Tamandua tetradactyla: one gene and its partner. The protein of the gene in region 1 purifies or fractionates together with the protein of each later gene. This does not show direct contact. Links are inferred from orthologs where the notes say so. Each region holds a gene or a part of one and is shown on either strand. Other genes may lie near its edges. The genes, in order: KPNB1 and RANGAP1.

Region 1 (7,716 bases):
TCTAGAAAAATCTTAGAAATTAATATTATAATATTATTAGCAAATTCCCTAAGTATTCTGACATACCCAAGTTTCGGAAGTACCAATTTATGTACCATTCCAATCTACCAAATGGATTCTACAAATTCCTTTAATCACCGATCTAAAGTTTTCCCAAACAGCTATGTCCACCTAGGTTATCTGAAAATAAGTCCATTCCATCAGTGAAAACGGACAAGTTGAACTGAGAAAAATATTTAAATCAAGCACAATTTTTATCTTCAAGTGAGGTTCAGGTTCCTGAAACCTATCATACTGTGAGCTCCAGTTCAGCAAATGACAAAAGAACCAACATGTTTAATCCCTAAACATTATGACGAAAAAGAGAAAGTTACTTACATAGTTCTTGACTTCTCGTCGGGCATTAGCATCAATAGCAAGCCATCTCTGCTGATACTGTGCCTTGATGTCTGGATCCTTAGATGTCAGAGAGTTCTTGATTTGTAGCCCAGCTGCAACTCTGGCAACCTGACTGTTTCCTGGATTTGCCAGCACTCTGGACAGTTCCACAAGGAAAGTGGGCTGTTAAGAGATGTATTTGCGAATGAAAATATCTGGTAGGAGTTTCACCAGTTGAGGATAGCTTATGGAGCATGAAACCTTTTTTCCTTTTAAGGACAGATTATTAGTGCCACAGAAAACTCCAAAATATCTACTTCAAAAATTCCATTTAAATGTAACTTAACATATGAGTAAATAGTCTTCTCAGGCAATGGCAAACAATACAAGAGTGGCAGATTTTCCTACCAAGGTCATTCTTAGAGCCCAAGTTTTCAAATCACATCCCCAGATTTAAAGCAAGTTTGCAATCTGGTAGGCAATGGACCTTCATGCTGAAATGTCCCAAACGCCTAAAATAGTGCTTGTAACTAAGTATACGTTGAATGAATTAACGTTATGACAGGAATGTAAAATTGATATTCTTTTAAAAACTTTAGTCCAAAAAGAATTTCAGTGTGACTTTTGATCTCATGAAAACAGAAAATCTTGTATGAGAGGAAAATACTTGTAGGGAAATCTAAAACAGATTGAGGAGCCTAGTCCTCTGTACTTTAGTTGCAAGCATGAACCAACTTTCAGCAAAAGGGGAACAAAGGGAAAAAAAAGTAGATTTACAAGAAAAAGTTAGTGATAAGTATTAGAAACTGGGATAGAGAAAAACTGAAAAGATAAAAACTGTCAAGGCAAATTGTTCCAAAGAATATGACAAATATAAATGGCTAAAAGCCTCTATACAGTTTGGTATTAGTTATCCACGAAACTTAATGGAGCCCTAAAAAATATATTCAATCTCTTATAACACACAAGTCCCCAAACCACACCCCTTACGATTTCTGACACACACACACATTCCTGCACCCCCAAAAGCCCTACTCAAATGTAAAAGTTAACAGGAAAAGCCAAAAGGAGAGTTTCTGACTACTAACAACTACTGTTCACCATAGAATTTTCACATCAGAAGATAATTCTTAAAAGTCGTATTTAGTTTTGTATCATTATAACATGCTAGGTATGAAGGCTTCTGCAAATTAGCAAAAGCAGAAACGGGTGTCTATACTAGTGGAAAAATCCTTTCTGGGGAAAATTAAGGGTAAAAATATCAGCAGAAGAAACTATTCAAAGGTAGTTTGTATGAAATAAGACTTGCCACTTCTTTCTTACATTATTTTATCTAAATAACTCAAAGTGACCCATTTGGTTACAGTGTTAACTACATATTACTTATACTTTCAAAAGATGTCAAGTATCATCCACCTTTCCCTCTGCTCCACATCCTCCCAAATACAGGGAAACCGAAGGGAAGCAAGTGGCACACGGCTTGTTTCAATCAATCCATCCCACATTCTCAAACAGAAAATGTGCTCCTTAAATCTGAAAACTCCAAAATGAGGAACTTTGCTCTGTGATTTCCTCAGGAAATAGGACCGATCAAGAATGAACCCCAGTCTGAGTACAGATTCCAAATATCTACTCATGGATGTTAAAAAAATAAAAAAAAACACCAAAAAACCCAGGAAAGAACAAATCAGGCAGTATAGGGAGAAATATTAGGAGACATGGGTTAACTGGCATTCGGGTGCTAGGCCTGGCGGTGAGCACAGGCCAAGCTAAATCGGTAAGAGTTGAGGTCTGGTAAGTAGATGGAAAACCACAGGGGCCATGGGACAGGAAGAGGAAGCCGGTTCGGGTCTAGAGCAGAGCGGGCAGCTGGGCTCTGAGCTTCCACATGGCCCCTAGGCCCGGCTCCCCCACCCCCACCCTCGCCGAACACGCAGCGCGGCGCAACCTAACTTCCCTTCCCTCCCTCTTTCTCCCTCCCGCTGCACCGCCGCCCTCAGGCCGTGCGATGATTGGGCGGCAGTCACCCCGGTGAGCCGCGTCATTGGCCAGCTTCAGGGGCCCGGGGCGGGACACACCCACCGGCTTCCCGATGGCGGGGTTAGGTTGGAGCCGGGCGGGGGGAGGGGGACGGGATGGGGCGGGGTAGGTTCCCGAGGCCTGGGCCTCCAGGAGGGCGGGAAGGCCCCGGACGCAGGAGATGGGGAGACGGCGGGATAGGGAACGGCGGGATTGCACGCACCAGGTTCTCTACGGCCGCACGCTCCAGGAACTTCTGCGCCGCTTCCAGTTCAAGCCGATCTGGGGGGAAGCAAAGTGGGAAAGGGAACAGGGTCAAAGGGGCCTGGGCCTCCCCTCCCCCCACTTAAAATCACCTCAGCCCGAACCCCCAGCCCCCGCGTCCTACCGGGAGACACAGTCTTCTCGAGGATGGTGATTAGCTCCATGGCGGAGGTGATAGCAGCGACTTCCCCTAGGACGATGGTCCGGCCTCTCGGGCGGCGGCTCTAACTGGGGGTGGGGGTTGGGGGTCGGGTGGGAAGGGAGGGTGGGGTGGGGGGCGGGGGTCACCACAAGCCCATTCACCGGTTCCCTCTTGGTAGTTCCGGCGCCCTTTCCTTCCTTCTTTCTTTCCTTCTTCCCTCCTACTTTGCTGCTGGCGGCCGCGGCAACTACTCTTGTAGCGGTGGGGTAGGCACCCCGGGGGCAGCTCAGATCGCGGCTGGTGTTCGGGTGGCGGAGGGAGAAAGAAGGAAGAGAGGCAGTGAGTGAACGGCGACTCGCAGGGAGGGAGAGAGAGGGAGGGAGGGAGGGAGGCGGAGGGATATTCGGGCCGGACCTCGCCGCGGCGGCACCGCGCTCCAGTTCGATTGGCTGCTGCCGTGGGCACGCGGAATCCCCAATTGGTCAGGCGGGCAGGGTTGAAGGGCCGCCGTGCGCCAATTCGCCCGCTGGCTTCATGACCCGGATTGGCTGGGCGGGCAGGGAAATGGAGCGCGCGGATTGGCCGACGTGAGGGAGGTTGGGGTGGGGCCGGCGAGAGCCGGCAGCGGGTTGGATTGGCCTGGTAAAGGCCTTGAGCTTAGACACGCTGAGCGCTTGGAGGAGGATGGACTAAAGGCAAGGCTCCAAGCTCGGGTGATTGGCTGGCATACTAGACGTCGATAGGATAGCGCGCCCGGGAGAACTGGGAGAAGAGTTCGGGGTCGGGTCCGCGGGAAGGCGGGAGGCGCCAGGGTGCTTTGGGTGCCCGGCGCAGGGCACGATGGGACGCCCCCGGGAAGGGGCGGCGCTTTGCTCGGGCCGCTTCGGGCTGCGGTTGAGAAAGCGCCCTTGCTCCGAGGGGTGTGTTGTGTGAGTGCTTGGCGGTCCTGAGCGGGGGAGGGGAGACCGTTAAATCTCTGCCGCGCTCACAGGAAGCTGTTTTAATGGTTAGGTCTATTTGGCACCAGACTTTCGTTTGGGAACTACCTTGGAGACCATTTGGTTCAACTTTAATTTTGCACATGTGGAAACTGAGGCCAGAGAGGGTATGGAATTTTACAAGGTCACACAGCCGGATAGTGGCCTGGTCAGGATAGACTGTAGTGCCCCTGACTGCCCTTCACCCTGCATGCGGCTTCCCCTCCAAGGAGATGAATGCATTAGCAGTCCTACATTTTTTGGGGGGGTTTTAGGCCTGTGCTGTAACAAGTCCTAACTCGAATACGGATAGGCATTTGGATTCCTCTTAAGTGCCCGGTCTTTAGCTACCAGGTAATTGAAGGAATAGAGATGAATTTCATCTTCCAAAGGTTACCTTATAAAACACATCTGCGAACCAGAAAGAATGGGTGTATGGGCATAAAGGATTAGCAAAATGCACATAAAGAAAACGTGGCATAGTACATGGGCCCCAGGTTAGGAATTTCCTAGACTGTTAAATTTTTTTACCTTATTGATCATAGGTTTGATTGAAGAGAGTTATTTTTCATTTGCCTTGGTGTTACGAAGTAATTGCCCTACTTGAACCACACTGGGAAAACCCAGGAGATAATTTGTCCATGCTGAGAGGTTCCACTGAAGATATAGGAAAATCTGGCCAGCTACCCTCTGAAACGAAAAGTAGAGACATCTGCAGTCCTGAAGCTGAAAGTGAGGGGACACCATTCCTCACACCATCCTGTAACTTATTGATCTTTTCAGGTTTAGTATTCCACCTAGCTCCAGCCTTTTGCTTCATCTGTTAACTGATAGATGAAGTTTAACTTTGTTAGGAATCAGTGAAGCTTGTGTGAGCACAGGACAGTCTTTGAATTGTCCTGACGTGGTTTACTCACTGAATGATACACAATTTTGTTTCACTCCAAACCAACTTTTTCCTGCCCTCCAGAAGTTTGATGGGCCATCTCCTCTGCTCAGTATTAGTCATGATAACGCCAGTGAAGGCAAATTGATTTTTTGGTTGTTAGATTGTGTGCTACAGAAAATTTAAGTTTGGATAAAATAAGCATCTCTTCTTTCAGTTTCATATAGTAGATGAATTATATAATACAGACAATAACATTATTTACCATGTATTCTGATTTACCTCAGTCCCAAGCAGATCAGCTTTGTTCTTATCTCTACTTGAAGTCTAATCTTTTTTTTGACTTAACAGTTGCTGTAGGTCTTTTTTTTATATTTTTATTTTTTAAATTTTTTATTTTTTTACATGGGCAGGCACCGGGAATCGAACCTGGGTCCTCTGGCATGACAGGCAAGCATTCTTGCCGCTGAGCCATCATGGCCCTGCTGTAGGTCTTTGAAAGCTACAGAACTCCCACTTTGAGTCTTAGTTGTCACTCCAGTACCCAAAGTTCCAGGTAAATAACAGGTTGTACACAAAGAGCATAGCATCTCAGAATCTAGAAGTAAAACTTAAATCTTAGGAATAAATGTGACTATTGTAAGAGTTTATAATCTAGCTCCTAATTTTTTCATAATATAGTTTCTAAAAGAGACCATACAATATTTGTCCTTCTCTTTCTGGTTTTATTTTTTTATTTTGCTCAAAATAATGTCCTCACAGTTTGTTCACCTCATGGGACTTCATTCCTTTCTGTAGCCACACAATATTCCATTGTAATATACACCATAGTTCGGAAGGCAAATTGATTGTTAAACTAACTGAAATAAAATGCTGGGAAGATAAGTTTTGCAGCAGAGTTCCATCATATATAAGATCCTTACCAAAACCAAAATTGAATAATTACAGGTGATAGTGTTTAGGTGATAGGTGACAAGCTGTATCCAAAGCACTCTTCTGTATTTGACAATGCTAGTGAAGCCCCATAGCGTTGGGCAACACATTGGGAATTGACTGCATGGGTTCATAACCCAGCTTTACCACTTCTTAGCTTGTGTGACTTACTTTCCTCACTTGTAAAATGGAGCTAATAACAGTATTTACTTCATAGGGTTGTTGGGAGGTACTAAATGAGTTAATATATATTAAGTGCTAATAACACTACCTGGCATATTATGTATATATAGATGTATAAATATGCATCTATTTGGCTTGTATTTTGTGCTCAGAAGTTTTTGGTCTTCGGTGTACTAATGAACATAGATTTAGTTAATCTCACATCCAAATATAAAGTTATGAAAGTGAAAGATGCCAAGGAATGACCCAGACAGAGGCTCAGGGAAAGCTTAGAGGATGGGAAGGGAGTTAGTTACTCAGGTGATGAAGGGAGGAGCAACATGTGCAAAGGCCCCTTGGTGGGAGGGCCTTGGGGTCTTCAAGGAACTGAAAGAAGGCCAGTACCCCAAAACATGGAGAACAAGGGGTTGTGATAAAGCTGGAGAGTTAAGTGGGGCCAAGACCATAAGAGACCTTGCAGACTGAAAGGGGTTTTATCTGTATCATATAGGGGATACAACAGGAGCTATTGAAAGGTTTCAAGAAGGATGGTTGTGATGTGGAGATAGATTGGAGAGGAACAAGAATAGATGCAGGTAGACCGGTCAGCAGGCCATTGCAGTAATCTAGGTGAGAGATGATACTTGTAGCAAGGAGAAAGGTGGGGATAATGATGGAAATAGAAGTAGATAGCAAAATCAGTTGGTTTGGTGATTGTCTCGAAAAAGAGGGAAGTGTATTGTGTCTACCGGATTTCTGGCTTGTACTGTGGAATGAATGAGAGAAATTGAAGGCCACATGGTTTAGTAGAATGGAGAGGAATAGGCAGGGAATTTCAGCTTGTATTTCCTGAGCTGTGTATTGGAGTACATAGTTTTTTATATTCTCTATAGCTTTTTTGTATGTTGGGAATATTCATAATAAATACACTTTTTAATTTTAAAAAATGAACAAATTCTGAAATTGAAGAGAAAAAAACGTTTTTGTCTTACTCCACTATTTCATTCTGTGTGATTCTGAACAAGCTATGTAACCTTTTGAATCTGTGAAACATCTCATAGGGTGGTGTGAGCATAAATGGAAGCCCCTCTGTGAAGGAACTCGCTACAATTATCTTGTGCCAGGAGATTTTCAGCAGTTTCTGTTATGTGGGTGAATTAGTAAATATTAGAGATGAGCTAAAATTTTCCTAATCAGTCCCCCTTATGACCCACAGCACAGATGTGTAAGGTGACTCGCTATGATGGGAGGAGCAGTGAGGCCATGACCCTGATGCCATTTTCTACTGAGCAAAGTTGACTGATTGGTAGAGGGGTTAAATCTAGGCCTCTTTGCTTTAAGGGACACTGTGTACTTAAGGTTAGTTGATTGCATTCATTTTTCTGTAGGCATAGTATACTTCAATTAAAAAGTTATGCAAAATATATAAGGTGTTATGTAATGTTCAAAGAAAAAAGTTTTTGTTATATTTTTGTAACCTTGAAGAGAAAAAAAAAAGTGGGAATGTATAAGCCAAATGTTGTTAATGGCTGTCTCTGGATTTACAGATAATTTTTCTATGCTTTTTTAGTTCTCCTCAGTGTATTCCACGTTTTCTTTGATGAAAATGTATTGCTTTTTTACTTACTTTTTTTGTTTGTTTTTTCTTGGGCGGGTTGGAGGGGCATGGTCTGGTAATTGAACCCGGATCTCCCACATGGAAGGTGAACATTCTACCAGTGACCCTCCCATGCACCCTAATGTATTGCTTTTTTAATCAGAAAAAGTTTTAGAACTTCTTTTATTAAAATCAAAGAAAAGAGGTAGGGAAAAATGTTCAAAAAGGATTATTAAGCTCAAGGCCCCTATATCACTTGACACAACTATCCTTCTGTAACTGATCTTTGGAAAATAGGTGATGATTTTTTAAACGTATTCTTCCCAGAGCTAAAAGGGATGCAGTGTTGGGGAGACAG
Region 2 (7,774 bases), on another chromosome or scaffold:
GCTGCCTTTCCTCTGAAGAACCAACAAAATAAATCCCCTTTTATTAAAAGCCAATCCGTCTCTGGTGTGTTGCATTCCGGCAGCTAGCAAACTAGAACACCTTCTAACCCCTGAGTACTGATCAGGTCAACAAGGCGAGAGAAAATAGAATGTTTATACAGTCCCCAAAGACCAGGTGTCAGATGCCAGGGCCCCAAGGAAAAACCTAAGCTGTGAAAGTACCTTAAACACACAGATGCACATGTACCATGCTTCCTACAATTTCAGCCCAGGGGAAGTCACACTTACAGAGCAAGTCTATTAGGAAACATAACAAAACAGGGACAGGAGAACAATAGGGTCGTAAGTGGGTTTGCTTTTCTCCTTTGGTTTTCGATTCAAATGGAGTAATGCATAATTTAAAGACTGTATGGCCTATACAATAGGTTAGGGATGGGCCCCAGTCACTCCTGAACAACCAATTGTTACGAAGCTGTTTGGCAGGAATTTCTCTTTTCAGCCTGTACCACATCACAGACTAACAAGTTCCTGAGGATTGTTATCCTGACAGGTAAAGCAGAAAGCCTCTTTGATCTTTCCATGACTTACTGCAGAGAGAACAGGGTCTCATTATAATCATCAACTTCAGGGCCCCTTCACACAGGCATTTGCCCTCCTGGATCACCACCGGCTATCAGCCACAATCAGCATCAAGGTGAATCGTAGGCCCAAAACTGAACCCCAGGTTCCTCAGTACAGTATTCAAGGGCCTCTGCCCTGGGATCCCTATGGGGTTCTGACAACTAACAGAGTTCACTTCTCCCAAACCCACACTACTTGTTTTAGTTTCTGGACCTTAATCAATGCGATTCTCCCTGTTTGGAGTAACGATTCTCCTTCAAATCATCCTTTCATGACAGTTCAAATCTCATCCATGGATACTGTCCAGACCCTCCTAAGCTAAAAGTGAGCTCTCTCCCCTTAGTTTCCAAAGTCCTTTGTTTATGTCTCTTAGAGTACGTTTCACATTCTGCTTCCTGTTAGTCACTTCAGTACCTCATTTCCTTTCCACATTGAGGGCAATCTGGGTACTCCTGGTGACCTATGAAAGCAAGTACCAAGTTCAGCCCATGCTGATGTGGTGAAGAGGTTACCTCCATAAAGTTCAGAGTCAGACAAACTTAAGTACTAACCCCAGCTCCGCACTTACCAGCTATGCCCTCAGATAAGTCTGACAACTTCCGTGAGCCTGTTTTCCAATCTACAAAATGAAGATGAAGCCTATACCTCAAGGGCTTTTGTGAGGATAAACAGTGGTACTATTTGTATGGTCCCTAACACCCTGCCTGACACAGAGTAAGTGTTTAATAGATGGCATTTTATAGCAAGACCATGGTTACTGAACTGAGCTCAACATCCAGTGAGAAGCACAGGACCTATGTTAAAATGCTGGCTCTGCTACTAACCAGCTGTGGGACCTAGGGCAAGTTACCTAAGTCTCCCAAGTCTTTTTTCCTAATTAACAAAGCAGCATTTCCTCCTACCTCCCACAGGGACGATGTGATGAAAGCAGAGAGAGATGCTTGGTGAACTCTAAGGCCCTACAGAGATGTTAGGAATGTAATGTGCATCACCACACTCCCAGCAACCCACGGACTCTGACCCAGGGGAGGTGAGCAAGCCCACCTGCTCACAGTGACAACCAGGCAAGTCCAGACCAGTTTCCCTGTTTGAGGCAAAACCCCAAGAGGTCTTACAAGCATTGACATCAGCATCTTCTGTTCTAGACACCAGGGAATTCAGGGTTGGTCAGCGCCAGCCATGCCTAGGCTAGGGGTGGGGAAAGACAGGGTCTGCATTCTCTGCAGTCCCAATGCCCTCCACAGAGACATGGACATCCATGCCTCTCTCAAGGTATCTGGGAGCACTGACCAGACTCCCAGGAGGGCCTGAGGTGCTGCTTATTTGTACCTCGACATGGACAACAGCTGATGTTCCCAGGAAGTGAAAATGGGGGTAGAAAGAACACCAGATCTGATGTCAGAAGTCAGAGCTAAATCTTGGGACCACGATTAATTGTGGCCCCTTATAACCTACCATTCCTCCCTCTGAGAGGTAAAGAGGCTTTGCCCATCTGGCAGCCTGAGCTGTCACTACAAGCATGAAGAGAGTAGGGCAGCCTGCACAAGCTCATGGGTAAATCGTTAATGTCTCTGAGCCTGATCATTAGAATAGGCCTACTGGATACATAATAGAGTTGCTGCAGCCACATATGCCTGACAAATAGGAAAAGTTTTAAGTGTTCATTCACACACTCCCTTTCCTCCCCTGAACAAGTCCGTCCAGGCACTCACCATCTTCTGCTGTGTTGAGTTTAAGGCTCTTGCCCTTGAAACTCAGCTGTCCTCCGGCCACCTGGGTTTTGGCCAGTGATTCTGCAAGCTTGGCAATGTCTTCGGAGGCCATGATGGTGGAGTCCCCTGGAGATCTGTAAACTGAAGAGGCAGAAGTAGCATTAAGATACCTGGTTGAGGGGGTGGGTGGGAATCAACCATCTCAGGGGTCTGATCTCACTTACCCCTGCTATTAAGACCCTAAGAGCTACACCACTGAGAGATGAAAACAGCATCAAGGAAGAACAGTTCTAGAAAAGGGAAAGAGGTAACAAAGAAATAGATAAATCATGTTTTACTCTCTTAAAGTAGAAAAACCATGTTTCACCGCTAAAGAGTTACTATCTCACTATAAGTCCTGCTCGGCCCAATTGCTCCAGCTAGGAGCACCTAGCAAGGCTACATGATGCAAAGAGTCTGATCCAATCACATACCTGCCTGATCATCTTGGCTGCTCTCTGTTTGAGGGTCCCATTCCTCAAACAGGACATAGATGGCTATGGGGTCCAGGTCATCCATCCCAGGGAATGCCTCACCGCCCACGCTGGCATGACTCTGGGGGTGGGGCACAGGGGTTGGCCCACTGCTTGGCTGGTTTCAACCTTGCAGTCCATGGTGGTCAGACCTCAGAGTTTCTAGGAGACCAGAGATCTCTACATCACAATAGCACCATCACAATAGGTCAGGGGTAGAGTTGCCAGAAAACTCTACCAGGTAGCGGTTTCCTACCAGGTAGGGGTTTCCTACCTGGAGCTCAGTAGACCAGCAAGAAAGGACAACTCCACTTTACCAAAGGGGTACAGGCAGGTAATCAGGGGAGACCAAGGAAGACTGCTGATATGGGGAACAGAACTAGGAGGTGCTTAGAGAGACTCCTTTTATGTAGACTGTCTCCTCCCCCAATCTACTCATCCTCAAGAGGCAGCTATGAGAGCTCCCCCATTCTTCCACTTCCCTAGGCTTTCTCTGGGCTCAACCAAACAACTGTCCAATGTTTTCTCCCCTTCTAACCCTGGTTTGTTTGTCTGTCTGTCTTTAATAATAAGCCTGACTTATTCATTGAGTATAAGCATTCATTCCTTCAAAAAACATTTATTGAGTACTACTACAGGTTGGACATTTTTCCAGGTACCATGAGTACAGCAGAGAATAACAGACAAACATCTTCCTGAAGCAGATGTTTAGTACATTAATGATAAGAAAAATCAATGGGGAAGAGAGTAAAGAAGGATTTTTTTTTTTTTTTTGGTTGTTTAAAGTAGAATGGTTAGAGAAGGTATTGTTAGGAAGGAGGCAACTAATAAAGACCTGAAGTGTGTCAGAGATTGGGGCCTGCAGCCACCTGGGTGAAGAATATTCCCACAAAAGGGGATAGCAAAGGCAAAGGCTCTCGCCGGGAGGGGGGTGTTGGAGAACTGCAAGGAGACCAGAGGGCGCTAAGCGAAGAGCACAGTGAAGGAGGGAGAAAGGAGGTAAGAACGAACAGAGAGCTAAGGGGGACGGGGTATCATAAAGCCATTTTAAGGACCATGGCTTTTTCTCTGAATGACAAGAGACAGTGGAAAGTTTCTAGTAGAGAAGAGCTGTGAACTGGGGAATGCTTTGACAGGATCACTCTATCTGTGCACAAGGCCTGGCATTTAGAAGGTGCTCAAAGAATGAGGGAGTGAAACTTAATAAAAATTAACCTAAACCCTACCACCTCTTGCAGTTCTGGTGTGGGACAATTTGAGGCTACAAAAGTGGTGGTGGAGCCTCCAGATGGAACAGGGATGCAGCTTCTCAGCTGAAGGGGGTCCACTCCTCCAGTCACCTTCCCACCGCCCCAATTAACTCTAAAGACCAAAAAACCCGAAACACAGAGATGTAAATTTGTTTCTCCTAGGTCAGCAAGGGGTTAGCGGCAGAGTCAAGACAGCCCCTCCTCTGCAGGAGCATCGGAGACTTTGTGGGCCTACTGGGAGTCAGTGATGGGAGAGCGACGCGCGACTGCAGGCCATAAATGACAGGCGGGCAGCGCGGGAGCCTCATCCGAGATTCCCGGAAGACTCGCACCGCCTCCAGAAGCCACAGATGCCAACATGAGACGCCACAGCTGGCAGGCATGGACTGGGCGGCTCCAGAGAATTTGACATCCTCTCTATGCCTCAGCTTCCCCATTTGAGAAAGGCACAAACGCCTCTCACCCCCCACCTCCGAGCTTGGCAATCGCAGACGCGGGGGACATCGCCAAGGAGGCACGCAGCAGGCGCTCAGGGGCGCCACACTTTCCTTACTCAGTTCCAGGGCCGCTCCCTCCGCCCCTAGGCAGGTGACGGGCAAAGGAAAGGGACCCCTACCCTACCGTAAACAGGCAGCGCCGCCGCGTGGGGCGAACCGAACACGCGCGTCCGCCCGGCGGGGTGGGGACCGGTTTAGGGTCCGGGTCAGGTCAGGTCGGGGTCGCCGCCTTTGGGCCCAGAGATCTTGATGCTCAGCCCGCTAGGCTGTCTGCTCTCCCGGCGCTTCTCGTCACTCACGTCGCAGACACCACCTGCTCCCCACACCGCGGTGGATGATGGCGGAGGAGGAGGATTTTGAAAGCCGGCAGTTTCTTGCCTTCGATTTGATTTGTTCGAGGCCCAGGCCGGCTTCCCCTGCCCCCCGCGCGCGTGGCCTATCGGGTATAGTAGTCCAGTCCTTCTGCGCGGGGCCCGGAGTTACATGGCAGGGGCGCATACTGTGAACTACAAGTACCGTGACGCACCGCCCTCCAGAGTGCCACAGCCGTCGTCCTCCCATTTCGACGTCTGGCTCTTTCTCGGGCAGGCCACGGGACGGTGCTTAACCGGAAGCGCGCAGAGAGACTACAATTCCCCTAATGCCGTGCAGCACGGCTGTCCCAGCCCTTCCGGAAAGTTTATCTTCACGTAACTTTATTGATAACGGCTGGTACTTCCGAAGCCGTGCTGCTAAATCTCCTCAGCAAGAAATCAAGTATCCATTTCCTGAAAGAAAAAACTCGTGTTTTTTCGTCTCATTGAATTTAAAGGGCATTCGAAGTCTTCTTCATAAATAGCCATACATTACTTGGTAATCAAAAAGGGGTAATAATAATTCTATAGTAGAGAAACTCTGCGGACACCACCTTAACCAAGTAATTAAAGTTATCATCCGACACCCCACGCCTCATGATGTGATGCATTGAGACGGACACGGCATGACTATCCTGTCAACAATGCATAAAATTAATCTTGAGGAAACTTGTTACAGAAAAACTCTTCTGTACTCTTCCAAAAATATATCATGAAGGGCAGAAAAACAGGAACCCTTGCAGATTATAGTAAAAAGACACGACTAAATGCAATGCGTAATCCTGGATTGGATCCTGGGAAGATTGTCATAGGAGACAATATTGATACTATTAGCAAAATCTGATTGTACATTAGATAATACAATTGTATCAAAGTTAAATACCCTGATGTTGAGTATTGGACTAGGTTATGTTAGAGACTGTCCTTGTTCTTTGGAAACAGATGCTGAAATAATTAGGGACAAAGGCATGATGTCTGCAACTTACTCTCAAATGGTTCAGAGAAAAAAATGTATATGTACATGTATATGTATACATAGAGAAAGGTAAAGCAAATGTGGCAAAACATTAATAAATCCAGTATACGGGAGTTCTTTGCAACTTTTTTTAAAGTATAAAAATGCAAATAGCTTTTGTTTTTTATAAACAGCTTTTTAACCATTATATTAAAAACATGTATTCATTATAAACAATTCAACCAATATAGAATAGGAGAAAAAAAAGTAAACCTCACCTGAAACCTAAGCATCTAGAGATAATAACTGTCAACATATGCAACCTTCTTTTCCAGTTACCTCTCACAATCCAGCCTACACATATGCTTTTGCTTTACCTGCAATTCAGTTAAGTATATTATGTGCCAGATTCTTGCACACATAGCTTATTTAATCTTTACAACCACACAGGAAGTGGGCATTTTCCCAGCCTTCCCAGCATCAAGATGAGAAAGCTAACTCTCCAGACCTAATGTGACATCCCTGGTTCAAACAGCTGCTTAGAGGTGACACCTGCCCCATGTGTCCTCTTTCCCACACCAGATTGCTTCCCCTCCCTCTCCTCTGCCTGCAAAGTCCATGTCAATTCCCCCTCATCCTGAAGGCCTTCCTAAACCACTGCAGCCAGAATTAGTCTCGCCCAGTTCTGAGTCCCCACAGTAGTTGGCACATGGCTCTGAGAGCTTTCCCACAGTCAGAGTTAGCTTCCTACCTAGCCTGGGAGGGCCTCTGAGAACAGGCACTGTATCCACCTGAGCTGCATCCCCTTTGGGCCTGGCATCACTGATGTTTTGGGTTTCCTCATTTGAGGATTCCTGTCAGGGTCATCTGATGTTTGCCATCAGAACAAGCACTCCCAATTAGGTTTGATGCTGTTTCTGCGCCGATTCCAGCTAAGATTGATCAAAATCAGTCTGGATTTTCCTTGGGGTAATCTCCAGTCTCCGTTTTCCGGTTTTACTCCTTGAGACTTGAGGATCTCAAGACAGAGACTTCCCAAAGAGAAGAAGATGGGCAATAGAACATTTTAGTTGCTTAGGTGAACTTCCCCTTCTTCATCCAGCAGATAGATGATAGGGTTATCAGAACTGAAAGGGAATTCTTAGCAGAAACTCAACGGCCTTCAAGGGTCAAGCAGGTAATAGGAATTATTAAAAAGCCTGGTGGGGCTTGTGGAGGACTAGAGAAAATTTCTGACTGAAGGCATTCACGTGCAAAGCTAAAAATAAAAAACCCAGCCTGACCACACCTCTGAGCAATCCAGATTTTGTTTGTAACACCTGAATCTAGAGTCTATCTCAAACTCCTTTATGGGTAGGGATACTAGGACTTAAAGAGAAGGAGGTTTGCCAACGTTGCACAGTGAGTCAGAAAAGTCCAGATTCATCATTTGTTTCCCAACAACCACATTTGTCATCTTTTTCTCACTTTCCCTTTTTCCAACTTTCTTTCAAGATATCACCTGAGACCTGATCTATTTGCCTGGCCCAAGAAGTGGACTCAGCCTTTATGGATGGATGGGTAGAACTGAATTAGGCCACCCTTTTCCTGAGGACCAGAGAAGTTAAATAACCTGGCAAAAGTTACACAGTAACTTTAGACAAAAACAAACAAACAAACAGTAGAAGCCAGACCTCTGGGGTCCTTTTCAACACACTCAGAACAAGTCATATTGTGTGAGGCAAGTACAGAGGGAGAAAGGGAAGACTGCTCCAGATGTTTCTCTCCCAGTTGTAACGTTTTCTTAAAAGATGTTTTCAAGAGAAAAGCAGGCTGCCTCTGATTAGTTTACTTTAACTGAGTGCTTTAAATTCCATTCTGGTGGATGCCAGTGA

What was found.
Region 2: the proteins of KPNB1 (region 1) and RANGAP1 purify together in Homo sapiens (affinity purification with mass spectrometry; 3 studies listed by BioGRID and IntAct, with this or other methods). This does not show direct contact. The link is inferred for Tamandua tetradactyla from reciprocal best matches to the Homo sapiens genes KPNB1 and RANGAP1.

Annotation. Positions count from the first base shown.
Region 1 is NC_135332.1:29,005,634-29,013,349, reverse strand, and holds the start of KPNB1 (importin subunit beta-1), read right to left. Parts: upstream 3,180-7,716; 5' UTR 2,826-3,179; coding exon 2,786-2,825; intron 2,680-2,785; coding exon 2,621-2,679; intron 562-2,620; coding exon 379-561; intron 1-378.
Region 2 is NC_135333.1:34,451,902-34,459,675, forward strand, and holds the start of RANGAP1 (ran GTPase-activating protein 1), read right to left. Parts: upstream 3,008-7,774; 5' UTR 2,892-3,007; coding exon 2,807-2,891; intron 2,624-2,806; exon of another isoform or gene 2,558-2,623; intron 2,475-2,557; coding exon 2,334-2,474; intron 1-2,333. UniProt on the Homo sapiens protein: GTPase activator for RAN. Converts cytoplasmic GTP-bound RAN to GDP-bound RAN, which is essential for RAN-mediated nuclear import and export. Mediates dissociation of cargo from nuclear export complexes containing XPO1, RAN and RANBP2 after nuclear export.